4 linked regions of the Stegostoma tigrinum genome follow. The protein of the gene in region 1 purifies or fractionates together with the protein of each later gene. This does not show direct contact. Links are inferred from orthologs where the notes say so. Each region holds a gene or a part of one and is shown on either strand. Other genes may lie near its edges. The genes, in order: eif2ak2, adar, dhx30 and zinc finger protein 346-like.

The links.
Region 2: the proteins of eif2ak2 (region 1) and adar purify together in Homo sapiens (affinity purification with mass spectrometry; 3 studies listed by BioGRID and IntAct, with this or other methods). This does not show direct contact. The link is inferred for Stegostoma tigrinum from reciprocal best matches to the Homo sapiens genes EIF2AK2 and ADAR.
Region 3: the proteins of eif2ak2 (region 1) and dhx30 purify together in Homo sapiens (affinity purification with mass spectrometry; 3 studies listed by BioGRID and IntAct, with this or other methods). This does not show direct contact. The link is inferred for Stegostoma tigrinum from reciprocal best matches to the Homo sapiens genes EIF2AK2 and DHX30.
Region 4: the proteins of eif2ak2 (region 1) and zinc finger protein 346-like purify together in Homo sapiens (affinity purification with mass spectrometry; 3 studies listed by BioGRID and IntAct, with this or other methods). This does not show direct contact. The link is inferred for Stegostoma tigrinum from reciprocal best matches to the Homo sapiens genes EIF2AK2 and ZNF346.

What each region holds. Positions count from the first base shown.
Region 1 is NC_081357.1:95,093,125-95,100,143, forward strand, and holds the start of eif2ak2 (interferon-induced, double-stranded RNA-activated protein kinase), read left to right. Parts: upstream 1-3,967; 5' UTR 3,968-4,221; intron 4,222-7,019.
Region 2 is NC_081400.1:2,174,201-2,181,354, forward strand, and holds the start of adar (double-stranded RNA-specific adenosine deaminase), read left to right. Parts: upstream 1-4,134; 5' UTR 4,135-4,339; intron 4,340-4,438; exon of another isoform or gene 4,439-4,531; intron 4,532-7,154. UniProt on the Homo sapiens protein: Catalyzes the hydrolytic deamination of adenosine to inosine in double-stranded RNA (dsRNA) referred to as A-to-I RNA editing.
Region 3 is NC_081358.1:94,688,846-94,696,096, forward strand, and holds the start of dhx30 (ATP-dependent RNA helicase DHX30), read left to right. Parts: upstream 1-4,250; 5' UTR 4,251-4,259; coding exon 4,260-4,524; intron 4,525-6,015; coding exon 6,016-6,143; intron 6,144-7,251.
Region 4 is NC_081366.1:78,746,886-78,754,795, forward strand, and holds the start of zinc finger protein 346-like, read left to right. Parts: upstream 1-4,845; 5' UTR 4,846-4,912; coding exon 4,913-4,997; intron 4,998-7,910.

The sequences.
Region 1 (7,019 bases):
TGGCCATCCCAGCTCACCTGCACACCTTTGGATTGTGCGAGGAAACCCACACAGACATGAGGAAAAAACTTGTAACCGCTACACAGTCGCCTGAGGCTGGATTGAGCTCAAGACTCTGGCATTGTGAGGTAGCAGTGCCAACCACCGAGCCACTGTGATTTTCCCCTGGAATACTGCAAGCTGTTTTTGGTTCCCTTTATCTAAGGAAAGCTATACTGATACTAGAAGCCATCAGAGAAGGTTCACTAGACTGATTCTGGGAATGAAAAAACTGTCTTACGAGTAGAGGTTGGATAGGTTCGGCCTGTATTTGTTAAAATATAGAAGAATGAGAGGTGACCTTTTTGAAACATACGTGATTCTTATGGGACTGGACAACATTGTACATGTGGAAAGGTTCATTTCCTCTTGTGGAAGACTCTAGTTCTAGAAGGCATAATCTCCAAGCAAGAGGTTAAACATTCAAGAAACAGGTATGGGGGAATTTATTCTGAGTGTAGTGAATATGTGGAATTCTTTATCTCAGATGGCTTTAGAAGCTAGGTTGTTTCCCGTAAGCAAAAAAAAACTAAAATCAATTCTTATAACTGAAAGCAAGCTGAATAGTCTTGAATGTTCACTCTGTATTTGTAAACATCTCACCAATGCAAACACATTGCCGTTATCAGCCCTGATCGTGTCTCATATACACACTCATTTTAGAAAAAGATTCCAGAGATATTGAGAAGTTGTTGATAATGGACAAACTAGCAATGTGAAGAAATTCCCACTCTTTTGAGATTGCAGAGACATCAAGGTAGGAGGTATTCAGTCTCCCGGCCCATCCACTCCCTCTCATATGACCGATTACATCCTTTTTTCTTCATTTAACTTTTGAATCAAATTCACTTTTTCTTCTTTCTGTGGGGGTGTATTTAGAGAGAGGTTGCAGGGAGCTGTTGAGTGGTGGATCCAGTCCATTCCTCGTGGCCATGGTAGTAATTGTTTCAGCAACTGTTCCAGCGTTGATGGGTTGGGGCCGGTTCTTTTCCTTTGGTGTTTTGGCAGCATCTGCAATTGCGGCAGAGTGAATGATCCTTTGATCCTGGGGAGTTCATTTGGATGGTGTGTCGGTCCTTGGAAGCTGAGAATGGACAGCAGTCTGTGAAAGTTGGGACAGTCTCCTGGCTATGGCGGCAGCTGGAGTATCAGTGATGATCAGGTACCTTTGGCAGAGATGGTGTTGGGTCAGCAGGGGGTTACTTCAGTGTGCTTCCTCCTTGGTGTTGCAGCCTCATGGACAGTTTTGACACCTGCAGAGTAAGGCACATCAGGTAGTCACTTGTGAATTCAAGAAGCCATTGTTGGAACAAAAACATGAAATTTGTCTTGACTTAGTATGTATTATTTCTTTTTTATAATTTATGTAATTAAAATGGTGCCAGATTAATTATGATGACTTAGGCATGTTTTGGCAGTATTTTTCATAAATACATGTAACAGTAAATTACTATGATAATAATATTATATTTGCTACTACCCAATACCCAATGATCTACACATGACCACACTGTTTTGATTTGATGTATTGTCACATGTACCTAAGTACAGTGAAAAGCTTTGTTTGTGAGCAGTACAGGCTGATCATAGTAAGCAAGGGCATACAGATTATAGGGTGAAAAAGAAACTTTGACAGAGGAAGGTATACAGGTTACACTGCAAAGGCTGTGTGATAAGCAAGTTCAACATAAAACAAGACCAGCATTGTTTTAAGTTAGAGAGTCCATTCATTAGTCTATGTCGACTGTCTCCCTTTGTTTCTCAAGGTGGCATTTCAAAGATCTTTGTCAGCTGGTGGGTATCAATTTGCAATGGGTCAGTGATGATGCTTCTTGTGTCGCTAATCCTTCACATCTAACTTACCCGTTGTCATAAAGTGGACCAACACCTTCATCAATACTCTTCCTGACAGGAGGTGTCAGCTGAAGAGAAAATTAGTGGCATGTAGTTGGGATTCCATCCTTTGGAAAGGGGCACACATGGAACCAAAGAGACCTTGAAATATGAGATAACAAGGTGTAGAGCTGGATGAACAGTTACTAGTGGTGTACCGCAAGGGTCAGTGTTGGGCCCACTGCTGTTTGTCATTTTTATAAATGACCTGGATGAGGGCGTAGAAGGATGGGTTAGTAAATTTGCAGACAACACTAAGATCGGTGGAGTTGTGGATAGCGACGAAGGATGCTGTAGGTTGCAGAGAGACATAGATAAGCTGCAGAGCTGGGCTGAGAGGTGGCAAATGGAGTTTAATGCAGACAAGTGTGAGGTGATGCACTTTGGTAGGAGTAACCGGAATGCAAAGTACTGGGCTAATGGTAAGATTCTTAGTAGTGTAGATGAGCAGAGAGATCTCGGTGTCCATGTACACAGATCCTTGAAAGTTGACAGGGTTGTTAAGAAGGCATACAGTGTTTTAGTTTTTATTAATAGAGGGATCGAGTTCCGGAACCAAGAGGTTATGCTGCAGCTGTACAAAACTCTGGTGCGGCCGCACATGGAGTATTGCATACAGTTCTGGTCACCGCATTATAAGAACGATGTGGAAGCTTTGGAAAGGGTGCAGAGGAGATTTACGAGGATGTTGCCTGGTATGGAGAGAAGGTCTTACGAGGAAAGGCTGAGGGACTTGAGGCTGTTTTCATTAGAGAGAAGAAGGTTGAGAGGTGACTTAATTGAGACATATAAAATAATCAGAGGGTTAGATAGGGTGGATAGGGAGAGCCTTTTTCCTAGGATGGTGACGGCGAGCACAAGGGGGCATAGCTTTAAATTGAGGGGTGAAAGATATAGGACAGATGTCAGAGGTAGTTTTTTCACTCAGAGAGTAGTAAGGGAATGGAACGCTTTTTCTGCAACGGTAGTAGATTCGCCAACTTTAAGAACATTTAAGTCATGATTGGACAAGCATATGGACGTACATGGAATAGTGTGGGTTGGATGGGCTTCAGATCGGTATGACAGGTTGGCACAACATCGAGGGCTGAAGGGCCTGTACTGTGCTGTAACGTTCTATGTTCTATGTTCTAACACAGCAGGCCAAGCATCATCAGAGGAGCAGGAAAGCTGACAGTTTGGGCCTTGACCCTTCTTCAGAAATGTGTGAGGGGAAGGGGATTCTGAAATAAATAGGGAGAGACAGGGAGGCAGATACAAGATGGATAAAGGAGAATATAGGTGGAGAGGAGACAGACAAGTCAAAGAGGCAGGGATGGAGCCAGTAAAAATGAGTGTAGGTGGGGAGTTAGGAAGGGGATAGGTCAGTCCAGGGAGAACGGACAGGTGAAGGGGGCGGGGTTAGATTAGTGGGTAGGAGATGGGGATGGGGTTTGAGGTGGCAGGACGGACAGGTTAGGGTTGCGGTCGGTGGAGGGGAGATTCTGAAGCTTGTGAAGTCAACATTAATACCATTGGGCTGCAGGGTTCCCAAGCAGAATATGAGTTGCTTTTCCTGCAACTTCGTGTAGCATGATTATGGCACTGCAGGAGGCCCAGGATGGACATGTCGTCTGAGGAATGGGAGGGGGAGTTGAAATACTTTGCGACTGGGAGGTGCAGTTGTTTATTGCGAACCGAGCAGAGGTGTTCTGCAAAGCGGTCCCCAAGCCTCCGCTTGGTTTCCCCAATGTAGAGGATGCCACAACGACCTTGAAATAAAAACTGCATGGCCTCCAATAAAGGAGGGTGTGCACTTCATGGGATAGCAGATCAAGTTCCTTGCCAGTGAACACTATCCAGGAAGCAGCTTTTCCCCACAGAAAAGAAGTGGTGGAGGTGATGATTTTTGACACCCTGACTGGTAGTCCGCTGGGAAAAGCCACTCCCTATAAGTTTGGCATTGTGTCTGACACTTCCTTCAAACAAGTTCAGCCAGATGAATTCCAATGCCTCTTCCCCAAAAACTCATACTGTATTAAAACACGCTCCTTTCATTAAACACCCACTCTAAATCTACACCCTCCCTTGCATCCATCCCCCTTCATTCCGCTCCGTGTTTGCAATGTGAGCCACGCAGTGGTTCCAGCTCTGATCCTTAAAGGCCTCTCTCAGTAACGCTGCAGGAAAGCGAAAGTAAAAGGAGCGGAGGCCGAGAAACGAAACTCTCTTTCCGACTGAAGGAAGAGACAATTTGCGTTCACGGTCTCCACTGCGAGAGTCAAGAGATTGCTGCTGTGAGCGCTGACGGTGAGTTTTCCTGGGGCTCTGAACGCATTACAGAATAATGTTATATTACACACACCGGCCGAAGCTTTACGGGGCACGCACCGTGGGTTCGGCAGGGGTTGCAGTATGACTCAGCTTTCAAAAATCTTCTTACCGATTAGTTACTTGATGGTGAATATTGTTTTACTGTCACCTCCGTTACAGTGGACTCTGAGTCGCAGGTTAGGGATTTAAGTCTTTCCTTCAGAGACTGAGTACAGAATTAAGGCTGACACCATCACTGTTAGTCTCTCAGATGAGACATTAACCCGAGGCTGGACCGCTCTCCTAGTTGGAACAACTGGGAGATGTGTATCTTTTCACAACCCGTTACCGGTCCCTTGGCCTTCTGCAGCTTTGTAAATGTTATCGCTGTTACATAGGAACAGGGCCAGACCATCCCATGAGCGTATGCATGGTTTACTTCATATCCCTGCTTTTCCCCATCTTCCTTACATTTTCCTCAAAAATCTGTCAATTTCTGTCTCGTTTAAATCACTTTGTATCATTTCGATTGCCTGTTGCTGAAGATAATTTGAAATTTCTAAGGCCCTGTTGAAGAGTATCCTCATCCCTCTGCCGCAAGTCTAGCTCAGAGAGCCCCCTGTGCAGACAGAAGCAGAGTTAAAGTTTCAAATCCAGTGACCCTTTGTCAGAAGGATCATAATCTGAAGGGTCATTGGACTCAACTATTTGCTCTGCTTTCCTCTCTCTCTATACAGATACTGACAGATCTGCTGAGTTTCTCCAGCACTTGCTGCTCGTTTCAAATTTCCAGCATCTGCAGTACTTTTATTAAGCTGTTTTATGTTGTTTGTATTATTGCTTTTTTATTGCAGTCTTAAATAGAGAATTGAAGGAAAAGAAATTGATCTAATATATCTGTAGAAATAACCTATATATTTTCTACACTAAACATGTTCTTATCAAAATGATCCTGGCGTTTCAATGTGTTAACTGGAACATTTGATTGTAATGAAGGGAAATCCTTTATTAGTTTGTGAGTGTCTGAATTCTGCACATTCAGCAATGTTTCAATTATTGGTGGGGAGCATTAATTGACATCACATGAAAAGGGTGTGCTGATTGGCTGGCCAGATTATGAGCCCAATGAATCATCTTAAATTGGTTTTTAGCGTAATTGTTGTCACACTCAGGATTGTTTGTAACTGCTATCTAATCTTCTAAACCAGCCACATTCCTGTTCCATATAATACTACCTAGCTCCCTGACTCATTTCCTTGGGTGTAGAGGGACTAGTAAGGGGGAACAAAAATCTTGAGATCTCTTCAAATCTGATATTTTCTTTTATCTGAAATTTGATATGTCACAATGAGACCACAAGAAATTGGAACGGGGTAGATGATTCAATCTGTTGAGTCTGTTGTGCCATTCAATGGGATTATGAGTAATGTCCCCTTGGGTAATTTTCCTCATGTCTGCTTTCCTGTCTTTTCCCTCTAATCCTTGATTCCGCTACTGATGAAGAAACTATCTCAGCCTCAAATTTTCATAAGGACTCCGTCCACACAACTCTGTGTGGCAAGGAGTTCCAAAGATTCTCAACCCTCTGAGAGTTTGAGGGTGAAATATTGGCCAGGATATTGCACTGCATTTCATGACGTTCTTTACATTGTGTGTATAGGATCTTTTATGTCCACTCAAGCAGGTAGACACTTGAAGGTCTGATTGAAAACATAAGAACTGTGATAGCACACCTTGGATGTGACAGCCTCGAAGATACACTCACCTCTCAGTATGTGGATTGAACTCTCGGCCTTTGGAATAAATTTAACTCTGGGTTTAAAATCCATGTTTAGCCTTTGCTTTGCCCTAGAGCCAAGTCAGGCCAGGAAAATACTTTGCAGGATGCCTAGCTTGTAGCGTGAATGAATTTTAAAGAATATTGCACGAGAACTGATTTATCTTTCCAAATCAAGGCATTAGTAAATACATTTCCCTGTATTTTACACAAACAAATACTCCTACCAGGACTCCTAACAGCTGTAATGAGTTTTATAAGAAGTGTTTGGAAAAGTGGTGCATCCAGTTTACAATTGCCTGTTGCCATCTATGTAAGGGAGATGATTTAGATTTGGATGAAAATTTGCAGTGGGCAATATTGGATCTGCTGCCTGTTGTACATGACTCCTAGTTTCATTTCCTGTGGAAGTCACAAGGAAGTCTGATATTAATACTTCACTTCTTTGTAATGACAATTCTTGGTTGGTGAGAAAGAGACAGTCTGTCAAAACCTTTTGTCTCGCAGTCATCAGAACAGACACAAGAATTCCAAAGTTTAATGGTGGGGAGCACTAAATGACATCACATATGAAAGAAATACTGATTGGCAGATTGTGAGCCCAATGGAGCATCTTAAATTGGTTTTTGCATAATTGTTGTCACACTCAGGATTGTTCAGTAACAGATATCAAAACAGGGATTTATATGTATCATTGGAACATTACATTCTGTGTTTTACAAACATTTTGTGAGTTGAGCATGTCCAGTACTCTGCCTACTGCAAGGGAATGTGATGTTTAATACAACTCAACAGTCATTGGGATATGGGGCCCAGATATGTTAGCATTACACCGGCACTGAAATTCACATAACTGCATTACTCATTTGTGTGTCATGAAGAAAGCAGCACAAGCATCTGTATGGAAAACCATGTTCCTGTCTTGATTGCAATCCTATTAATGGAAAATATCAGTTATAGTATTACTTCATAATAGTAGCATATAATAACTGTTTTTACCTGTTACTCAGATTTTTGA
Region 2 (7,154 bases), on another chromosome or scaffold:
TTTCCTATTCATGTAATTTCAATGTTTATAAAGTAACTTTACCCATATTGACCATTTTCCTCTAGGTTCATTCCATGTGAACCGCTGATTTTAAAAATAAAACTCCCCATGTCCTATTTTTAAAACATCATCTCATTAAAAATGTTCCCCCCAACCCTAGGGAAAAGCTATCAGCCATTCACCTTGTCTAGACCCCTCCCAATCTTGAACATCTAAGGTCACCCCCTCCAAATTGCTCCAGTGGAAAAAATGTTCCAATCTCCCTATAATGCAAACCTTCCATTGCAGTGACATCCTGATTAAATATTTTCTGAACCCTCTCCACCTTGATAACAGGGCAACCTGTACTGGACATAGTGCTCCAAAAGAGGCCTCACCAACATCCTGTACAGGCTCAACACTATGTCCCATTCCCATACTTAACAGTCTGAACAATAAAGATAAGGATGCCAAACACTGCCCTAACCACCTGCCTATGTATAATGCAAATATCAAAGAATTATGTACCTCAACCCCTAGGGGTCTCTATTCTATAATACTCCTGCAGACTGACCGTTAATTGTTAAAAGACAAGCATTGAGCTAGAAGAACACATCAGGCCAAGCAGGAAAGCTGCCATTTTGGATCAGACACTTCAGGAAAAAGTTATGACTCCAGCATCTGCAGTTCAGACTATCCATTAACTGTAAGTCCCATTCTTGTTTGTTTTACTGAAATACAATAGCTTGCATTTGTCAAAGTTAAACTCCATCTGCTGCTCCTCAGCCCATTCAGTCAAACAAGATTGCTGTAATCTTAAATAATAATCTTAAGTAACATTCTTCACTATATAACCATACCTTCTATAGTCTCATAAGCAGACCCAGCATTGATCCCTGTGACGCATGGCTGTTCAGACCTCCAGTCTGGAAAAACAACCCTCCACAGCCACTGTCTCTTGCCATTAAGCCATTTTGTATCCAGTTGGCATGCTCACTCCTCATTATCTGTTTTTACATGTGCAACCCTTCACTCTGTTCCTAGACTTCCCTAAAAGGGAAACGACCTTTCTGCATTTACTGTGTTAAATCTCCTAAATCTTTTAATGCTTCAATAAAGTCACCTGTCATTCTTCTGTGTTCCAAATAGTACAAGTCCAAACTACTTAACCTGTCTTCATTTAAAGTCCTTCTGTACCTGGTATCATCCTAGTGAATCTTCTCTGGATTGTCTCCAATGCTAGCATATCTTTCCTTGGATAAAGGATCCAAAACTGTTCAGTATTTGAGCTATGGTCTTGACTTGTGCCTTTGTAGGTTTAGCAAAACCCCCACTCTAGTTTATCACTCCATTCCGTTTTGCAATAAAGGCCAACATTCCACTTGCCTTCCCTATCACCCACTGAACTTGGATGCTAGGTTTTGGGATTCATGCACATGGAACCCCCCCCCACCCCCAAACATCTTTCTGAAGCTTTCAGAAATGTTTCTCCATTTAACAAGTATTCACTCCTCCTTTCCTGTCAGTGCATAATCTGATATTTTCACATGCTATTCCTTTCTTCTAGCACTTTTTTGCTCACTTTGTCTAATGTATCTATCCCTCTTCAGAATCTCATTCTCATCACTTACCTTCTCTCTTTGTCATCTGTTAGCACCACTATAGTACATTCGCCTTTGAACTCCCTTGAGCATGAGCATCCTTTCTCAAAAGGAGACCAAAAGCAAATAAACATTCTAGGTGCAGCCTCACTCAGGCCCTGTACCAATGAATCCACTATCTGTTTAGCTAATTCACTGAATGGTAGACCAGACCCATCAGGCTGAATAGCCCACTTCTGCTGTCTTGTGTGTACAAACTGAAATGGAAGCTGAACTGCTGTGGCTGTGTTTTCAAGTTGCAAAAGGGTGGCATTTTGTTGAGCTGTGCAATACAAATTGTTCCTTTTTTGAAAGTAGTAAGAAGGAAAATTTTTATAGACTGAACAGCACAAAATATTTAAGGAAATTCCCCCTAGCAAAAGATCTGTAGGAGCCAACAGCAACTCGAGCCTGAAAAATAACATCACACTCTCTTGCCCCTTGCCTCATCCTTTTTAGGGTAAAAGTCAAGACTTCCAAATTCTTTGTCTTTTATACAAAAGACCCAAGGTCACATGATCAATGGACAACCATCGCTTTAGACAACAGCATCTCATCGTTGTAAAACAAACAAGGATTGAAACTTCCTTGTGGTCTGGAATTTTGTTTACCCTATCTATATTTTCCATCAATCTGTTAAACTGTATCTTAATCACTGTACACTTTGGGTTTTTGAAACAATGCAGTTTATAAAGTTACATAAATTAGAAATATTTAATTTATTGATCTTGTGTGATTCCATAAATAACTCTTTACTATCCCTCACCACTCTTGTATCAGTTACAGTAATCAGGTAATAGTTAATGTCTTTAGCTGCAGAAGTCTTGTCATGGAGTCAGCATTAGGATTGTTATTTTTCTAATTAGTGTTTATGCAGGGGGGGGCAACAAAGCTTGAAAGAAGATCTTCGATAGGATGTTAACACCCCAGATGAATGGGTGGTAAATGATCCTTAATACAGAAGGGGGTGATTTTAAAATAAACATGAAAGACGGTACAAAATAAAGGGTACTAGAGCAGATGAACAGACTTAAGTGTAGGTATACATTATAAATTACTAAAATTAGTAAGTAAATTTAGTAATTACTAAATTAGCAAGATATGATGGGGGTGGGGACAGCTATTTATGAAGACCCAGAATAGTGCATAATTAAGTAGGGACAGCATATGGCAGGGGGTTATGAGCTGGTTTAACTTGTTGGTTAGACCTCCATTTGGAGTACTGCATACAGCTGTGGGTAACAGATGATAGGAACGATGTGAATGAATTGGAAAGGGTTTACAATGGTGCATACTCAGTAGTATGAAATAATACTGGAGGTAAAATTGAACACTACTTTTTTCTTGAAAAAGACAGCTACGAGGACATTTGATAGTTCTGAAAATCATGAAGTCTGGATAGGGAAAACCTGTTCCCATTTGCAACAGACTGAGGATTAGTGTAACAAGGTGTAGAGCTGGACAAACACAGCAGGCCAAGCAGCAGGAAAGCTGACGTTACGGGTCTAGACCCTTTTCTGAGGGTCTAGGTCCGAAACGTCAGCTTTCCTGCTCCTCTGATGCTGCTTTAGCCTGCTGTGTTCATCAAGTTCTACAACTTGCTATCTTTGATTCTCCAGCATCTGTAGCTCCTATTATCTCTGAGGACTAGGGTACTTGCTTTTACAAAAGCAAAAGCAAGGCGAGGAAACTCCCACCCCTCCCCCCCCCCCCACCGCCGTAGATGCGGTGGTGGTATACGAGATGACAAAGTGTGAAGCTGAATGAACACAGCAGGCCGAGCAGGAGCTCAGGAGCTGACATTTCGGGCCTAGACCCTTCATCAGAGCCTGCTGTGTTCATCCAGCTTCACAGTTTGTCATCTTGGATTCTCCAGCATCTGCAGTCCCCATTATCTCTGATCACAATTTTAACAAAGTGTGGGGCTGGATGAACACAGCAGGCCAAGCAGCGTTATAGGAGCACAATGACGTTTCGGGCCTAGACCCTTCATCAGAAAAATCCTTTATGCGTGGTCGAGGCAGGTTCGATCGTGGTATTGCAGAGGACATCGGATAGTTGCCTTCCACCTTCTCTCCCCCACCCCACCACCCCCAAAAAAATAACTTGGGCGGTTACGGGAGGGATCGGCGGCAAAATAAGGTAGAAACAGGGCCCCAATCGTCGTCACGGTCTCAGTCAGTCCTTCGGCTCGCCAAATAAAGTCTGGATATTTCTAAGTCAGTTATAAGATTATAGTCTCTCAACTTCCGTCTTTTGGGGTTGGGGGGGAGGGGAGCTACAGCTTGGTAAATACCGCCTCGCGTCTTCCCTTCCCTAACCCCCGAAGACACCCTCGATGTATGGACCAGCCTTGCCTTGATCAAAGATGGCCGCTGCACATCTTTCAAGAAAGTTTCAACGCGGACGGGTACATTATGCAATTTCCGGTTCGGCCTCCGGCGGTGATGGAGGGTGAGGGTGGGGGAGGGGAGGAGCGAGCGGCGGAGGCGGGGAGGGTAGAAGGAAGGAAAGTGGGGGGAGGGGAGGTTGTTGTCATTTGAAGGCAGAACACAATAGGAGAAGGTGGTGTGTACATGAGAGATTTGGGAGGGAGAAGGTCTTTTATTTAAGCTAATGTCCGAACATTTGAATCTGTACGTTTGAAGCGGGGGGGAGAAAATAAACGAACAGGAAACGGGAGCAGAATGGAGGCGCCACCTCGACGATGCGGAGCGTAGGTAAGGAGCTTGAGGGCGGGAAGAGGAGGAGGGAAAAAGCCGAGGCCTAGCCGGTCACTGTGTCTCTCTGTCTCTCACGCTCGCTCATTGACACTGACACACAAGTCAGTTAGTCGGTCACCGCGCCGCCGAACACTCCGCCTCGCACGCGATGGCGGTCGCCGCTTCGCTGTGAAAGCCGGTTGATCGGAGGTGAGGAGGCGCGTTTCAAACCGGTGGCCTTACCTGAGGAGACGGAGGAGGTTTCATCCTTCAGGAGCCGTCAGCCCGCCCGCGAGGCCAACCGTCACTGGGACGCGGGGTCGCCCGGCGCGAGCGAAGCAGGAGGGGTTGGGGTGGGCGCATTGCTTGGGGTTGGGGGGGGGGTGCCCCCGGGAGTCAGGGTCAAGAGGTGCCCGGAACGGGGTACGTTGATTTTTTTTGGGGGGGGGGAATGGGCTAAGTTGATATTTGTGGGGAGAAGGGATCCCCGGTAGTGAGGGTCAATAGGTGCCGGGAGGGGGGGTTGGTACATTGATATTGTGGGGGTGGGGGGGGAGATACCGGGTAGTGAGGGTCAATAGGTGCCGGGAGGGGGGGGGTTGGTACATTGATAGTGTGGGGGTGGGGGGGGAGATACCGGGTAGTGAGGGTCAATAGGTGCCGGGAGGGGGGGGGTTGGTACATTGATATTGTGGGGGTGGGGGGGGGAGATACCGGGTAGTGAGGGTCAATAGGTGCCGGGAGGGGGGGTTGGTACATTGATACTGTGGGGGTGGGGGGTGGGATACCGGGTAGTGAGGGTCAATAGGTGTCGGGAGGGGGGGGGGTTGGTACATTGATAGTGTGGGGGTGGGGGGGGATCCCCGGTAGTGAGGGTCAATAGGTGCCGGGAGGGGGGGGGTTGGTACATTGATAGTGTGGGGGTGGGGGGGGATCCCCGGTAGTGAGGGTCAATAGGTGCCGGGAGGGGCGGGGGTTGGTACATTGATATCGTGGGGGTGGGGGTGGGATACCGGGTAGTGAGGGTCAATAGGTGCCGGGAGGGGGGGGTTGGTACATTGATATCGTGGGGGTGGGGGGGGAGATACCGGGTAGTGAGGGTCAATAGGTGCCGGGAGGGGGGGGTTGGTACATTGATATCGTGGGGGTGGGGGTGGGATACCGGGTAGTGAGGGTCAATAGGTGCCGGGAGGGGGGGGTTGGTACATTGATATCGTGGGGGTGGGGGGGGGGATACCGGGTAGTGAGGGTCAATAGGTGCCGGGAGGGGGGGGTTGGTACATTGATATCGTGGGGGTGGGGGGGGAGATACCGGGTAGTGAGGGTCAATAGGTGCCGGGAGGGGGGGGTTGGTACATTGATATCGTGGGGGTGGGGGGGGGAGATACCGGGTAGTGAGGGTCAATAGGTGCCGGGAAGCCCGGGGGGGGCCTCTCCGGCACTGAGGTATCTGGGGGTGGGTGCATCGTGGACGGGGGGGGATGGGAGGCGGAATTGCCGGTAGTGAGGATCAGCAGGTCCCGGGAGCGGCGGGGGGGGTGCTCTAGGTACATTGTGCGATATTGTCGGGGTGGTCCCCGGGAGGGTCAGTAGGTGCCGGCTGGGAGCTAGGGCACATTGTGTGATATTTTGGTTGGGGGGCGGTGGTGGTCACACTGTGTGTGTATTCATATCCGTGAGGTGGGGGTGGGGGTGGGGAGGGGGAAGGAAATGGCAGCGTGGAGCCGGCCGCATCGTGGTTATGCCTCGTGTTTTGGAACCGGTGGTTTTTTTTTGGTGAACGCTTTATCTTTCACGTGTCCGTCCACATGGCGCTTCGGGAGTATAATTTCTTTTCCTCACTGTAAACATAACATACTCGAGTAAAATGTAACAGAATTGCGGGTGCTGGAGATCTGAAACGAAAGAAAAACAGAAATTGCTGGAGAGGGAAAACGCTGGGTCACTTTTCACAGATACTCTTAGAATTCCCTAATAATGTGAAAGTAAGCTATTCAGCCCATCAGGTAGGCAACGACCGCCCCCCCCCCCCCCCCCGCAAACAGCATCCCACCCAGAACCCCCCCCCCTTCTCAATCCCTGTAACTCTGCGTTTCCCATGGCCAAAACCCTAATCTGCACATCTTTGGACTGTGGGAGGAAACCCACCCAGACGTGGGGAGGCATTCACATTCACCTGAGGGTGAGATCAAACCCAGTTCCCTGGCGTTGAGGCCAGCAGTGCTAACCACTGAGCCATCATACCGCCCCTACTTCCAGACCTGTTGTGTTTCTCCTGCAATCTGTGTTTGCTTATGATATATTCAAGCCTTCTTTTTGTCATTGCCTTCTGTTGTACTAATCAGAGTTGGCAAGGTCAGAGGTGAGGAATATTGCAGCGCCTAACTCATCTCCAGACTCCCCAGAGCCTGTTCACCACTTACAAGGTACAAGTTAGGAGTGTGATGGAATACTCCCCACTTGCCTGGATGGGTGTAGCCCCAACAACAGTCAAGCTTATTGTCCCAGGACAAAGCAATTTGCTTGATTGGCACCATATCCACAGATATCCTGTTCATCCACCACTGATGCTCAGTAGCAGCATTGTGCACCATATCCACCTTCAATCACTCGCATACAATCTGCAATATGCTCTGCAGAAATTCACTAAAGACCTTTAGACAGCACCTTCCAAATGCGTGACCACTTGTATCTAAAATGATAAAGGCAGCAGATATGTGGGAACACCAACGCTTGCAAATTTCCCTCCAAGCCTCTCACTGCCCTGACTTGGAATTATATTGGTATTCCTTCAGTGTCACAGAGTCAAAATTCTGGAATTCCTTCCCTAATG
Region 3 (7,251 bases), on another chromosome or scaffold:
GCCCAGGTTTTCTATCACTGTTTGTTCTACGAAGTCCACTTATTTTGAAATGGGGATAGAACAAGGCTGGGTCTGGTGCCCTCCATAGCCAAATAGTCTACCGATACACCAAAATGTAATGAGTGAATAGGTGGTTGAAGGGAGGGCCAAGCAATCTGTGGAGCCTCATCCAGGATATGAAAAATTGAGACTTTAGGCATTCAGAACAATAGATTATGGGCTGAAATGATCAAGAGGGTTTAAATTTTTGAATCGATAGGAAAAGGTAGATGAAGCAAAATGTTCATAACAAGTACCACAGATGCCAGATTAAAATTGAGAGATGTGGACCATAAGGTAAGATGTATGAGTGGATGTCAGCTATTTGAACCACCAAGACTGCTCTGCCATTCAACAAGATCATGGCTGATCTGATAATTCTCAACTCCACTTTCCTGCCTTTACTGCATACTCCTTGTTTCCCTTCTTGATTAACTTTTGCATATCTCAGCTTTGAATATACTTAAGAAACTAGCCTTGACAACTTTCTGTAGGAAAGAATTCTACAGATTCTCAGGAAGCGAAGGAATTCTTCGTTATCTGTGTCCTAACTGGGTGACCCCTTCTTCAGAGATTACATCCACTATACCCTTTCCGTCTCAGACAGTGAAAATAACTCTCCATATCTAAACTGTCATGTGTCTAAAAATCTTGAATGTTTCACTAGGGTCACCCCTCATTCTTCGAAGCCCTAAGTACAAGCCAAACCTACTCAAACCCTTCTCATGAGAAAATCCATAGATACCCGCAATTGACCTAGTGACTGACTCCAAAGCCAATATATCATTCCTTAGGTAAGGGGAACAAAAACTATTCGTAATATTATAAGTGTCATTGAAATAGTGTCACACGTAGTTTTAACAAGACTTCCCGATTTTTGTCCTCCATTCCGTTTAAAATAAAGACCAACATTCCATTTACTATCCTTATTACACACTGACATTGTATGCTAGTGTTTTGCGATTTATGCATGAGGATGCCAAATCCTCTTCCAGCAACTTCTGTTTTTGTTTCTGATTAAAGCATCCACAATTCTTTTGGTTTTTAGGTTTTCCACTACCTTCTCAAGGGCAATTTGAGATGAGCAATAAATAGTGACCTTAATAGTTTATAAGAATATATCATGAATATATAAAACAAGGACCGGGACTGATGTCCTTGGGGGACTATTTGCAAGAGTTGTTGGGGAGGCTTTAAACTAAAATAGCATGAGCGAGGAATCAGAGGAGGGAGAATCAAGGACAAGGACAACAAACAGAATGGGGAATAAGAAAAGTGATAGGCAAGAAATCATGGGCCACAATCAAATAGGGGCATATTTAAAAATAATGGAAATGGGACAAGTAATAATAAAAAAGGCCAATTATAATGCTTTGTGTTTCAATGTGTGGAACATTTACAATAAATTGAATGAATCAATCACGCAAATGAATAAAAACAAGTATGATTTAATCAGAATTATGGAGACATGGCTGCAGTGTGACAAGGAATGGGAAGTGAATATCCAGAGGTGTTCAGTAATGAGGAAGGATAGATGAAAAGGAAAAATCAGTAATGTTGCATTGTTGGTTAAAGAGAAAATTAATGCAATAGTGAGGAAGCATAGTAGCTCGATGATACAGAATCTGTGTCATTAGAGCTGAGAAACACCAAAGGGCAAAATCATTAGTGGTGGTTGGATATAAACCCCTGAACTGTAAGGATGATGTTGGGAGTGGCATTAAACAGGACCAGTACATTTTGTTTCCTGTCTGCTAATCAACTGTTAATCCATGCAAGTATATTACAACCAAACTAATGTGCTTTGATCTTGCACAGTAAACTCATACTTGGGACTTTATCGAAAGCCTTCTGAAAATCCAGTACACCAGCACACTGGTTCTTCTTCACCTATTCTGAGACTAATGTCTGCAAAAAATTCCAGGTTGTTTGTCAAATACAATTTTCTCCATACAGCCTTTTTCTTTAAACAGCAATGTTACATTTGCCACAGCCCAATCTGCTAGAACTGTTCAAGAGCTAACCAAGGCCCTTGAGTCCTTCGAAAAAAGTAAAACTCCTAGAAGGGATGGCTTACCAGCTAAGTTGTATTCAGCTTGAAGGACTTGATAGGCCAGCACCCAGTGGAGATGTACAATAGTATGATTCTGGCAGGGAGAATATGTGAATTTAAGAGGAAAGGTATCATCACCCTCATCGACAAGTGGACAGGGGACAGGGAAGAAATTAGAAATTGCCAATCATTGAATATGGATTACAAGATCCTGTCTAAGGTCATTGCCAACTGGGTCAAGTCTGCTCTGGGTTCGGTGATTCACCCTGATCAAACCTGTGCTGTACCAGGAAGGACCACCTCTGGGAGTCACGTGCTCCTCATAAGTATGATCACCTATGTGCAAAGAAGGGCAGTGGGTGCCTTCCTCATCAGCCTGGACCAGGGGAAGGCCTTTGACAGGACATCACACACCAACATGTGGGACATGCTCCCTAAAACAGGTTTTGGACAGCGAATATGAAATTGGATCCAACTGGTCTGCACCAAGCTCTGTAGTGTAGTTTCAGTCAATGGGTGAGAATCAGAAAGCTTCCTGATCAGACCTGGAGTCTGGAAAGGCTGTCCACTCTCTCCTGCTTTCTTTGTGCGCTGTATAGAAGCTTTTGCCAATTCCATCAGGAAGTGTGCGAGAGGGGTGATTTTCCAGGCAGCAGAGGCCTACAGGTCAAAACTGCCCTGTACATGAATTACATCATTGTTTTCTGCTTGGGTCCACTGCGCACAGAATCATGAAAATCTGCAACCAGTTTGAACTGGCCTTGGGAGTCAAGGTAAATCAAGGCAAGAATGAGGTCATGTTCTTTGGGAACTGGGCTGACTGATCCTCTGTCTCCTTCACCATTGTAGGGTTATAATGAAGGCATATGGCGTGTTTACTTTTGTTGGCAGGGGAATTGAGGTTAAGAGCCACGAGGTTATGTATACGAACCACTGTCTGTGTGAAAAGGTTGCTCCTCAGGTCCATTTTAAATCTTCCTCCTCTCAACTTAAATTTATGCTCTGTAGTTTAAAAGTCCCCTCTGCTAGGAAAAAGACCTTCACTATTCATTTTATCTATTCCCAATTAATTTACAAGCCTCTATAAAGGTCACTCCTCAATCTGTTAGGGCACATTTGGAATATTGTGGTCAGTTCTGTTCACTACATGACGGAAGGATGTGGAAGCTTTGCAAAGCATACAGAAACAATCTTCCAGGATGTTGCCTGCTTTGGAGGATATTTGCTATAAGGAGAGATTGGACAAACTTGATTTGTTTTCACTTGAATGTCGAAGGATGAGTTGCAACCTTTTGGAAGTTTACAAAATTATGTGAGGCATGGAGAGACTGGTCAGAGTTTTATTCCTAGGGTAGGAATGTCAATTATTAGGGAGCACAGGTTTAAGGTACCAGGCAATAAGCTTAAAGGAGATGATAGAGGCAGGTTTTTGTTGACACAGATGGTGATAAGTGACTGGAATGTGCTGTTCCAGGAGGTGGTGGAGGCGGATACAGTAGCAACGTTTAAGAAGCATCTTGACAAATATGTGGGATATCAAGGTGGAGAGCTGGATGAACATAGCCGGCCAAGCAGTATCAGAGGAGAGCTGACGTTTCGGGTCCAGACCCTTCTTCAGAAAACAGTGAATAGGCTGAGAACAGAGGGATACGGACAGTGTAGAGGCAAAAGGTTTTTAGTTTAGAAAGGCATCAAGCGTCTGCAAAGTCTGTTCTTGCTTGTTCCAAAAAGGGAACTTGAAAAGGAGCAACGGACAGGATTACAGGGAGAAGGCAAGATGATTGCACTGGGTGAGACCTCACGGATACAGTGAACCGAGTGGTTTCCTTCCGTGCTCTAAGAATTCTGCAAAATTACTTTTGTACTTTGAAGTGATGGAAGGATTCAAACTACTTATTCGACTGACACTCCTTCCATTGACAGAACAATTGTTACTGCAGCAAATAGAGTGCACACCACCCTATTAAGAGCAGTAGAGAACTTTCAAGAGCTCTCACAATCCTACCGCATTAACCATCGCCTAGTACTCGATTCTGCCGCCAGAGGCAGCGCTGGGCTCATTGTCGGAGTTCCTGACTTTTTTTTGTAAACGGTCCATCTTGCGCATTGTTCCGGTCTCTCCGCGAAGTTCTGGAGCCGGCCTGAGGAACCAGCCCGTGTTTCCAAGATGGCGGTGTACGCAGGTGGGATGTCGCGGCTGCTGTGTTTCTTGTTGAGGAGGTTGTGCCCGCGAAGGCAGCCCAGCACCGGAGCCCGGGGACCGCCGGCGCCTCTGGCTTGGCACTCGGAGTGGGAGTGCGGCCCCATATGGATGACAGCGGCCATGAGCCGGTTCAGGCACACGACGAGTCGGCGGCAGCAGCAGGTCACGCCGCGGGGAGAGGAGGGAATGTCGGAGCCGCCGCTGCCAACTGGAGCGAGCGGTCAGCAAGGTGCGGGCTACTGACTCCTCCGGGGGACACACTTCAACCTTGCAGTATTTGTTGTGTATATAAGCACACGCATGTTACAAAGTACTTACACAGTGTATTGAAAGACCAACGACAAAAATATAAATACTCAAAACTACCCATCAAGTATTGGGATATAGAAACAAAATGCAGTTGCGCACAAATATTCAACTAAATTCAGTAGTTTGCTGAAAAAGAGATTAAAGTGATTCATTTTTGGGGGGTTCGTGACCACAGTTCTCTGAGATCTGCCACCTAGTTGGATAGAGTTGTTAAGAAGGTGTATGGTGTGTTAGCTTTCATTAATAGAGGACTCGAGTTCAAAGGCCATGAAGTTATGCTCCAGCCGTACAGCACCCTGGTTCGGCCACATCTGGAGTATTGTGTCCGGTTCTGGTCACCTCATTACAGGAAAGATGTGAAGGCGTTGAAAAAGCTGCAGAGGAGATTTACTAAGATGTTGCCTGAAATAGAGGGAAGGTCTTAACGAGGAACGGTTGAGAGTGCTAGGGCTTTTCTCTTTAGAACGACGAAGGATGAGAGGTGACTTGATAAGAGGTGTATAAAATCATCAAAGGTCTAGATAGAGTAGACAGCCAGAGGCGTTTTGCTAGGGTGGAGGTAGCTATTACGAAGGGGCATAATTTTAAAGTGAGTGGAGGTAGATATGGGAGATTCAGAGGTAGGTTCTTTACTTGGAGAGTGATAGGGGTGTGAAATGCATTGCCAGAGCAGGTAGTGGAGTCAGTCTCATTAGGGACAGTTAAGTGGCTATTAGATAGGCATATGGATGATAGTATATGGTGAGGGTGGAGGTTAGATAGATATTAAGTTTAGGATAAAAGTTCAGCGTAACATCGTGGCCGGAAGGACCTGTACAGCGATGTACTGATCTATGCTCTGTGTTCTGTTTTGGTAGAAAGAAATGAGGAAAGGGCATATAGCCAATGAGGAATAGAGATGGATGTGTTTGTGTACAAATTTGTGAAGTTGGCAGGACAAGTTCAGTTTAGCACTTTAGCCAATAAGTTGAGGCATTGAAAATAAAAGCAAGGAATGCATGTAAAACTTTCAACATTTGCTAGGTAGGCTGCAGTTGACGTGCGTATTGTGTACCATATTAAATTCTTGACCTGAATGTTTGGTGCATAGAAGCAAGAATTGAAAATCTGTTGTGTACATATGTTTGATTTCCTTTGTTCTCCATTCTGTGCTGAGCCAACTAATCTTCACTGTGATCTGTCAAATTGTAATTGATTGTCTTGTGATTGGAGTGGAATGACGAAGAAAGGAAGAAGTCTACAAAAAAAATCTGTGATCACACTTTACATAATCGTCCTTGAATGATGGTGTCCAGTGATCTCCAATGCAGAAAATTGACATCTTGTGGGGAAAAGACAAAGAATTGGTTTTCCAAGCATTAACTCGGTGATGATGGCTGGCATACTGAATTCACCGAAAATGTTTGTTTAGACTTACAGGCCCTTCTTCAAGAGTTTCCACAGCCTAAGAACCTGCTGGTTCAGGTCATGCAGCGAGCTCTGAAGGCTTCTAATGTAAATGATCGCATTGTCTACAAATCATTTGATGGATACATTAAAGTAAGTGGTTATCAATGTTTATTTTTCAATCTAATTTGGTTAAATTACTGTTGGCCAGTTTGGTCTTGACACTTCAGTGTGGAGAGGACAGTTCGGTAGGCTCCCTGATTCCACACCCCCAGTTGTGTAGTCATATCACCTGCAAGAAAGTATTGGATTAGCAAACTTCAAATCTTCAGTAATATTCCAGAGAAATTTCAAATCCCACTATGGCAGGTTTAGAATTTTCATTCAGTCTAAACAAATTCTGGAATTGAAAAGCTATTAGTGACCACGGAACTTTCAGAGTGCCCTAAAATTGGTTCATCTTAATGTTCTTCAAAAAAAAACCTGCTGACCTCACCTGGTTTAGTCCTTGCATGATTGCAGTTCAATACCATCAGGCCTGCCTTTTAACTTTGAAGTGGTCAAGCAAAGTAGCTTGGGATGGCAAATGAATGTTGCCTTGATAGTGGGATGGCCACATTCTGATACTGAATAACATAAGAGAGAAAGACAGACTTGATTCTTTCACGACACGATCTACAAAGAATCTGTTGGAATCTTTGAAGTGTGCCCAAGTCAACTCTTGCAGAATTTTGAATTAATCCCACCTCTTGTTCTTTTCACCATAACCCTGAAAAGTATTCTTCCAGTATGTGTTCATTTTCCTTTAGAAATTAATATTGAATCTAGTTTCTCCATTCTCCCAAGAGAACTCTTTCATCATTCTCAGATGGCAGGTTTCAAACTGAGGATTGAATGATAGGTGTGGTATTCATTTCTTCAGGGTGCTCTACTATTGGTGCATCACCTCTCTTCATCCCCTTCCTTAGATTGCTGGATAGATTATAATGCTGGTTGAATGGACAATGTTCAGGGTTTGAGTGAAGATTTGCAGCTTGAGTGCTGGTTGTAGATGTGTTCGCTGATTTGGGAGGTTTGATAGCAGACTTTTTGTGAAGAAGGCTCCACAGCACTGAGAATGTCACCTAATAAGGGGACAAAATGTCTGCTATCAAACTTCCCAGCTCGGAGAACACACCAACATCTGTGAATGGACAACATTCTAATAGAAGCCTCTAACCAATACTGACAATTGTTTATGTACTTTGAAATGAAGTTGAGG
Region 4 (7,910 bases), on another chromosome or scaffold:
TTTTGGTCAAGAAAAAAGAAGCATATGTTAGATACAGACAGGAGGGTTCAAATGAATCCCTAGAAGAGTTTAAAGAGTATACTTCAGAGAGAAATCAGAAGGGCAAAAAGGAGACATGAGATAGCTTTCTTTGCCAAAGCCAAGGAGTAACCAAAGAGATTGTGCAAATACATTAAGGACAAAAGGGTAACAAGGGAGAGAATACAGGCCCCTTAAAGATCAGCAAGGTGGGTGGTAGAGATGCTAAATGAGTCTTTTGCATCAGTGTTTACTGTGAAGAAGTGTATGAAGATAGGGAATGTGGGGAATTAAATAGCGATAGCTTAAAAAATGTACATGTTACAGAGGAGGTCGTGCTGGGTGTACTAAGATGCATAAAGGTGGATACATCCCCAGGACCTGATCAGGTGTACCCTAGAACTGTGTCAGAAGCTAGGGAAGTGATTGCTGTGCCCCTTGCTGAGATATTTGTATCATTGATAATCATAACTGAGGTGCAAGAAGACTGAAGGTTGGCTAACGTGATGCTGTTATTTAAGAAAGGTGATTAAGGAAAAGCCTGACACTGGTGATGAGCAAGTTGCTGGAGGGAATCCTGAGGGATAGGATCTACATGTATTTGGAAAGGTAAGGACTGATTAGGGAGAGCCAACATGGTTTTATGTTTGGGAAATCATATCTGACTAACTTGACTGAGTTTTTTGAAGAAGTAACAAAGAGGATGGATGAGGACAGAGCAGTGGACGTGACTTATATGAACGTCAGTAAGGCATTTGACAAGGTTCCTGTTGGCAGACTTGTTCGCAAGGCGAGATCACATGGAATACCAATGACATGAAAAATTGGTAGAGTAGAGTAGCATAACAACAAAGAAGGTTACATCAGAGTACAATGGGACCTTGATCAGATGGGCCAATGGAGTTTAATTCAGATAAATATATGTTGTTACGTTTTGAAAAGGCAAATCAAGGCAGGACTAATACACTTAATGATGACGTCCTGGGGAATGTTGCTGAACAAACAGACCTTGGAATGCAGGTTCATCATTCCTTGAAAGGAGATTCAAAGGTAAACAGGATATTGAAGGTTTTGGTATGCTTGCCTTTATTGGTCAATTCATTGAGTATAGGGGTTGGGAGGTCATGTGTGGCTATACAGGACACTGGTTAAGCCACTTTTGGAATACTGCGTGCTATTCTGGTCTCCCTGGTATAGGAAGGATGTTGTGAAACTTGGAAGGATTCAGAAAAGATTTACAAGGATGTTGCCAGGGTTGGAGGGTTTGAGCTATAGGGAGAGGCTGAATAGGCTGGGGCTATCTTCCCCTGGAGTATTGGACGCTGAGAGGTGACCTTATAGCAGTTTATAAAATTACAAGGGGCATGAATAGGGTGAACAGTCAAGGTCTTTTCCCCAGTGTGGGGAAGTCCAAAACTAGAGGGCATAGGTTTAAGGTGAGAAGCGAAAGATTTAGAAGTGACACAAGAGGCAACATTTTCTTACAGAGAGTGGTTTGTGTATGAAATGAGCTGCCAGAGAAAGTGGTGGAGGCTGGTATAATTACAACATTTAAATGTAATCAGGATGAGGACATGGATAGGAAGGGTTTAGAGGGATATGGACCAAATGCTAGCAAATGGGACTAGATTAATTTAGGATACCTGGTCGGCATGGATGAGTGGACTGAAGGGTCTGTTTCCACGTTGTGCAGCTCTGAGTCTACAAGTAGGCCATTCAGCCTTTCGATGCCACTTCTTCATTCTACATGGCCATTGCTGATTATCCAATTCAGTGCCCTCATCCCACCTTCTCCCCATATCCTTTGATCCCTTTAGCCTGAAAAACAATCTCTAACTCCTTGAAAACACCTCAGTCCTAAATGGCCTACCTCTTGTCTTTAGACTATAACCTCTGGTCTTGGACTCCCTGGTCATCAGAACGCCCTTTCTGCATTTCCCCTATCTAATCTTGTCTGAATGGCCTTCAGCTTTTCAAAAGCTGTTTCAAAAGCTGACAACTGCGCTGAAACTTGAGATAAACTTTCGGTAAAAATCACATATTCCAAGAACCTCATAAGTTCCCATTTTGTTGTGGGAATCTGAAACTGCACTACTGCTTGTGTTATGACATAGAGATAGGTAGCTGAATCGAATCCACCTTTGTATTCACAACACAGTAACATTAAACCATCTAAATCACTCTGCTGGTTCACAACCAGGTTTTTGAACAAGCAATTCCAAACTTTGAAATTAATTAATTTTCTCAACACCAGTTCTGTAATTTAAACAAAAGATTTAACATTTTATTGAAAACAAAATTTATATTAGAAAAGAGAAAATAAAACATGGTGTGGTTATCAATATTAGTGCTTTAAACCCAAAACATTTGTTTCCAGCCCCCATTCACATGAACAATGGATAACAAACACAGTTAAGGGATAAATAAGCTAAAAAAAAGTGGCCAGATTACTCAATTGACTCATGATGCATTATCTCACAGGCATAAATGTGACTCTTTAGCTGTTTTTCTGAAACATCGATCAGGGTCATTTTCTCAGTTCACTCAGGCAAAAGCCACAATAATTCCAACTCAGCTTTCTACTCTTTAGGCAGGGAGCTTTCAAATCTTCACACTGTCTCAGCAGCATCCCTGGACCATCTCCCAGAAAACAGAGCTAAACAGAACACTGATTCTGGTTCTACCCTGATACTCTGAATGACTCCTCTTGAGGCCTCAATTACCATTAAACAACTGCCAATCTGCTTGAACATAGGCTTTCTTTCAGACTTGCCAGAACCAATTCCCAAGTACTGATCTCGTCGATAGCCAATTTCAGCTATCTGTGTAAACAAATGCTCTTTCTAGGGTTTGCTGCATCTGTTAGAACCTTTTTGAATCAAGTTTCAGCCTACAATTAGCCTCTTGGCCGGGCCTGTTTTCATAAACAAACAAAGCTTGTTTAGAGTCATAAAGTCATTGTGATGTACAACATGGAAACAGACACTTCGGTCCAACTCATTCATACCACCAGAGAACCTAAATAAATTAAGTCCCATTTGCCAGCACATGTACGCATGCAGAAACCTTTTAAATGTTATAATTCTAAGGCCCCTACAGCTCAGTCCATACCTGTGTCATCCTCTGAATGAAAAAAAATGCCTCTCAAGTCCCTTTTGAGTCTTTCCGCTCTCACCTTAAACCTATGCTGCCTAGTTTTGGGGTCCCCTAAGATGGGTGAAAGACCTTGGCTATTCGCTCTATCCTCGACCCTCATAGTCATTGCATTATCTTTTTGGTATTTAATGCAGATCCTCATGGAGCTATTTGGCTTGGCCGCAAGTACAACTGCAGGCCTTGTCTGGCTGTTACTAGATACTATCAGTTGGTGCTCCACCAGTCAAGCAAGAAACAAGAACAGGCCACTCAGCCCTTTGAGTCTACTCCAGCCTTCAATAAGATCGTCATTCATGTGATTTTAACTTCAAGTTTATATTCCTGCATATGATTTTTCATCTTCTTGGTAATCAAGAATCTATCACCTTTGTCTTAAAAATAGTTGCAAGATTCTGCCTCCACTGTCTTTTGAGGAATGGAATTCCAAACACTCCAAGAGAAATGTGTTCCTCTGTCTTAAATAAATGAACCCCTACTTTTAACCTATGACCCCTAGTTTTACATTTTCCCACAAGAGGAAACATCCTATACACATCTACCTGATCGAGTTCCTTCAGGATCTTAAATGTTTCTATTAAGTCATTTCTGACTCTTCTAAATGCCTGCCGAGCCTTCCTCATAAGGCAATCCCCTCATTCCCGGTATTAATCTAGTGAATGCCCTCTGAACTGCTTTCATCACATTGACATCCTTTTGCTGGTACCATGACTAGTGACGCAGTCTCATCAATGCCTTGTAAAATTGAAGTATAACCTCCCTATTCTTGCTTTCAATTACCCTCACATTACAACATTACATTCTGTTATGTTTCCAAATTACTTGCTGTACCTGCATACTAACCTTCATGCATCAGGATACTCAGAGTCTCTTAACATCTCAGAGCTCTGTAAAATCTTACCATTTAGAAAATATGCTTTTTATTTTTTTCCCCCACTTTGCCACATTACATCTTATTTGCCGGACCTTAGACCACTCACTTACCCCACCTAATTAGTTTTGTAGGCTGTTTATGTCCTCTTAACACACTTTCCTACCTACTTTCTGTCATCAGCAAAATTAGCTACACGTCCCTTTGTCCAAACTTTAATTTAAATATTCTATTCCTAGACATACTCAGATATTAGCAAATAGTTATAGACAACATCAAACTGGATTCTATTAGAGTTGATATTGTGCTTTTCAATCGTTTATAATTAGAAAAAAAACTGCCAAAGTTTAAACACATTTCCCCAGATTCGCTGAGCAACTTTCCAACTTGTTTCACTGTCTCAGTCAAGGGAATTAATACCTCAGCTGCTTGTGGTGAAGGTGTTTTCCCATCCAACCACTCGGCTACGTTATTACACACACATTTGCAACAGGTGGGGCATTAACACGGGTCTCCTGTCTCCGATGCAGGGACACTACCGGCAGCTCCAGCCGAGCTCGGACCGTTCCTGCCGCGGGGCAGCTCCGAGCGCGTCCACGCTGCCGCACGCGCGGCGCCGGCCCGTTGCCGCGGCAACGCCGTCCGCTGACGTCGGCGCGGCCACGAACTTTCTGGAAAGCGGCGGGCGATGTCTCGCGCGGCTCGGCTGTGTTGACGCGAGATCTGCTGAGGGCAGGGGGCTGGCTCGGTGTGTGCCTGTGCTGGGGGGGGCAAGGGGGCAAGTCCGGGGTTTAGAGAGAGGGAGGGAGGGAGGAGGGGGGTTGAGGGTTTATTTTAAAACTAAGAGAAAAGCTGGGGACTCCGGCAGCGATGGCGGCGGAGAGACCGATCCCTCAGCTGATGGAAAGCTTCAAACCAGCCGGTGCCGGCGACACCTCGACTGGCAACGGGGCTGGTAAGCGCCGCCCAGCCATGAGCACCGTGCATTATGGGGGAGGGGGGAGGCAGCGTCGTGCATTCGGTTAAAAGGGGGGAGGGGGGTAAATAGCAAAGATTCCTCGCTGTGGCCGAGAGCTTCGTGCATCGGTACCTCCCCGTACACAGCATGATTCTCCCCACCCCCTCGCCCCCCCCTCCCCCCACCCCCCTCGCCCCCCCCTCCCCCCACCCCCTCGCCCCCCCCCCACCCCCTCGCCCCCCCCCCTCCCCTCGCCCCCCCTCCCCTCGCCCCCCCCCCTCCCCTCGCCCCCCCCTCCCCCCTCGCCCCCCCCTCCCCCCTCCCCCCCCCCCTCCCCCCTCCCCCCCCTCCCCTCGCCCCCCCCTCCCCTCGCCCCCCACTCCCCCCTCCCCTCGCCTCGCCCTCCCCTCGCCCCCCCGCCCCTCGCCCCCTCGCCCCCCCGCCCCTCCCCTCGCCCCCTCCCCTCGCCCCCCTCCCCTCGCCCCCCTCCCCTCGCCCCCCTCCCCTCGCCCCCCCTCCCCTCGCCCCCCCCTCCCCCCCTCCCCCCTCCCCTCCCCCCCTCCCCCCCCCTCGCCCCCTCTCTCCCCCCCTCTCCCCTCTCCCCCCCCTCGCCCTACCCCCCCCTCGCCCTCCCCCCCCTCGCCCTCCCCCCCCTCGCCCTCCCCCCCCCCTCGCCCTCCCCCCCCCCTCGCCCTCCCCCCCTCGCCCTCCCCCCCTCCCCCTCCCCCCCTCCCCCCCCTCGCCCTCCCCCCCCTCCCTCTCCCCCCCCTCCCTCCCCCCCCCTCCCTCTCCCCCCCCTCCCTCTCCCCCCCTCCCTCTCCCCCCCTCCCTCTCCCCCCCTCCCTCTCCCCCCCTCCCTCTCCCCCCCCTCCCTCTCCCCCCCCTCCCTCTCCCCCCCCCTCCCTCTCCCCCCCCCCCCTCTCCCCCCCCCCTCTCCCCCCCCCCCTCTCCCCTCTCCCTCTTCCCCTCTCCCCCTCTCCCTCTCCCCCTCTCCCCCTTCTCCCTCTCCCCCCCTCCCTCTCCCCCCCTCCCTCTCCCCCCCTCCCTCTCCCCCCCTCCCTCTCCCCCCCTCCCTCTCCCCCCCTCCCTCTCCCCCCTCCCTCTCCCCCCTCCCTCTCCCCCCCTCCCTCTCCCCCCTCCCTCTCCCCCCTCCCTCTCCCCCCCTCCCTCTTCCCCCTCTCCCTCTTCCCCCTCTCCCCCCTCCCTCTTCCCCCTCTCCCCCCTCCCTCTTCCCCCTCTCCCCCCCTCCCTCTTCCCCCTCTCCCCCCCTCCCTCTTCCCCCTCTCCCCCCCTCCCTCTTCCCCCTCTCCCCCCCTCCCTCTTCCCCCTCTCCCCCCCTCCCTCTTCCCCCTCTCCCCCCCTCCCTCTTCCCCCTCTCCCCCCCCCCTCCCCCCCCTTCCCCCTCCCCCCCTTCCCCCTCCCCCCCTTCCCCCTCCCCCCCTTCCCCCTCCCCCCCTTCCCCCTCCCCCCCTTCCCCCTCCCCCCGTTCCCCCTCCCCCCCTTCCCCCTCCCCCCCTTCCCCCCCTTCCCCCTCCCCCCCTTCCCCCCCTTCCCCCTCCCCCCGTTCCCCCCCTTCCCCCTCCCCCCCTTCCCCCTCCCCCCCTTCCCCCTCCCCCCCTTCCCCCTCCCCCCCTTCCCCCTCCCCCCCTTCCCCCCCTTCCCCCTCCCCCCCTTCCCCCTCCCCCCCTTCCCCCTTCCCCCTCCCCCCCTTCCCCCTCCCCCCCTTCCCCCTCCCCCCCTTCCCCCTCCCCCCCTTCCCCCTCCCCCCCTTCCCCCTCCCCCCCGTCCCCCCCCCCGTCGTCCCCCCCCCGTCGTCCCCCCCCCGTCGTCCCCCCCCCCCCGTCGTCCCCCCCCCCGTCGTCCCCCCCCCCCCGTCGTCCCCCCCCCCGTCGTCCCCCCCCCCCGTCGTCCCCCCCCCCGTCGTCCCCCCCCCCCGTCGTCCCCCCCCCCCGTCGTCCCCCCCCCCCGTCGTCGTCCCCCCCCCCCGTCGTCCCCCCCCCCCGTCGTCCCCCCCCCCCCGTCGTCCCCCCCCCCCCGTCGTCCCCCCCCCCCCGTCGTCCCCCCCCCCCCCCCCCCCCCCGTCGTCCCCCCCCCCGTCGTCGTCCCCCCCCCCCCGTCGTCGTCCCCCCCCCGTCCCCCCCCCCCCCGTCGTCCCCCCCCCCCCCGTCGTCCCCCCCCCCCGTCGTCCCCCCCCCGTCGTCCCCCCTCCCCCTCCCGCCCCCCCCCTCCCCCTCGTCGTCCCGCCCTCCCGCCCCCCCTCCCCCCCGCCCCCCCTCCCCCTCGTCCCCCCCTCCCCCTCGTCCCCCCCCTCCCCCTCGTCCCCCCCTCCCCCTCGTCCCCCCCTCCCCCTCGTCCCCCCCTCCCCCTCGTCCCCCCCTCCCCCCCCTCTCCCCCCCTCTCCCCCCCTCCCCCCCCCTCTCCCCCCCCCCTCGTCCCCCCCCTCCCTGTCCCCCCCTCCCCCTCGTCCCCCCCCTCCCCCTCGTCCCCCCCCTCCCCCTCGTCCCCCCCTCCCCCTCGTCCCCCCCTCCCCCTCGTCCCCCCCCTCCCCCTCGTCCCCCCCCTCCCCCTCGTCCCCCCCCTCCCCCTCGTCCCCCCCCTCCCCCTCGTCCCCCCCCTCCCCCTCGTCCCCCCCCTCCCCCTCGTCCCCCCCCTCCCCCTCGTCCCCCCCCTCCCCCTCGTCCCCCCCCTCCCCCTCGCCTCTCCCCCTCTCCCCCTCTCCCCTTCCTGCCTCCCTCTTCGCTTGCATCGAGCACCTTCCTCTGTTTCTATAAAGAGAAACACACATAAAACTGCGATTGCTGCTGCAAATAATTCAGCAAACACCACCCCCCTCCGCCGACCCCTGCAACTAACATTGAGGTCAGTCGCTTTTTGTTCAGGCAGCTGCAGAACCAGGGGGACATGTAAAAC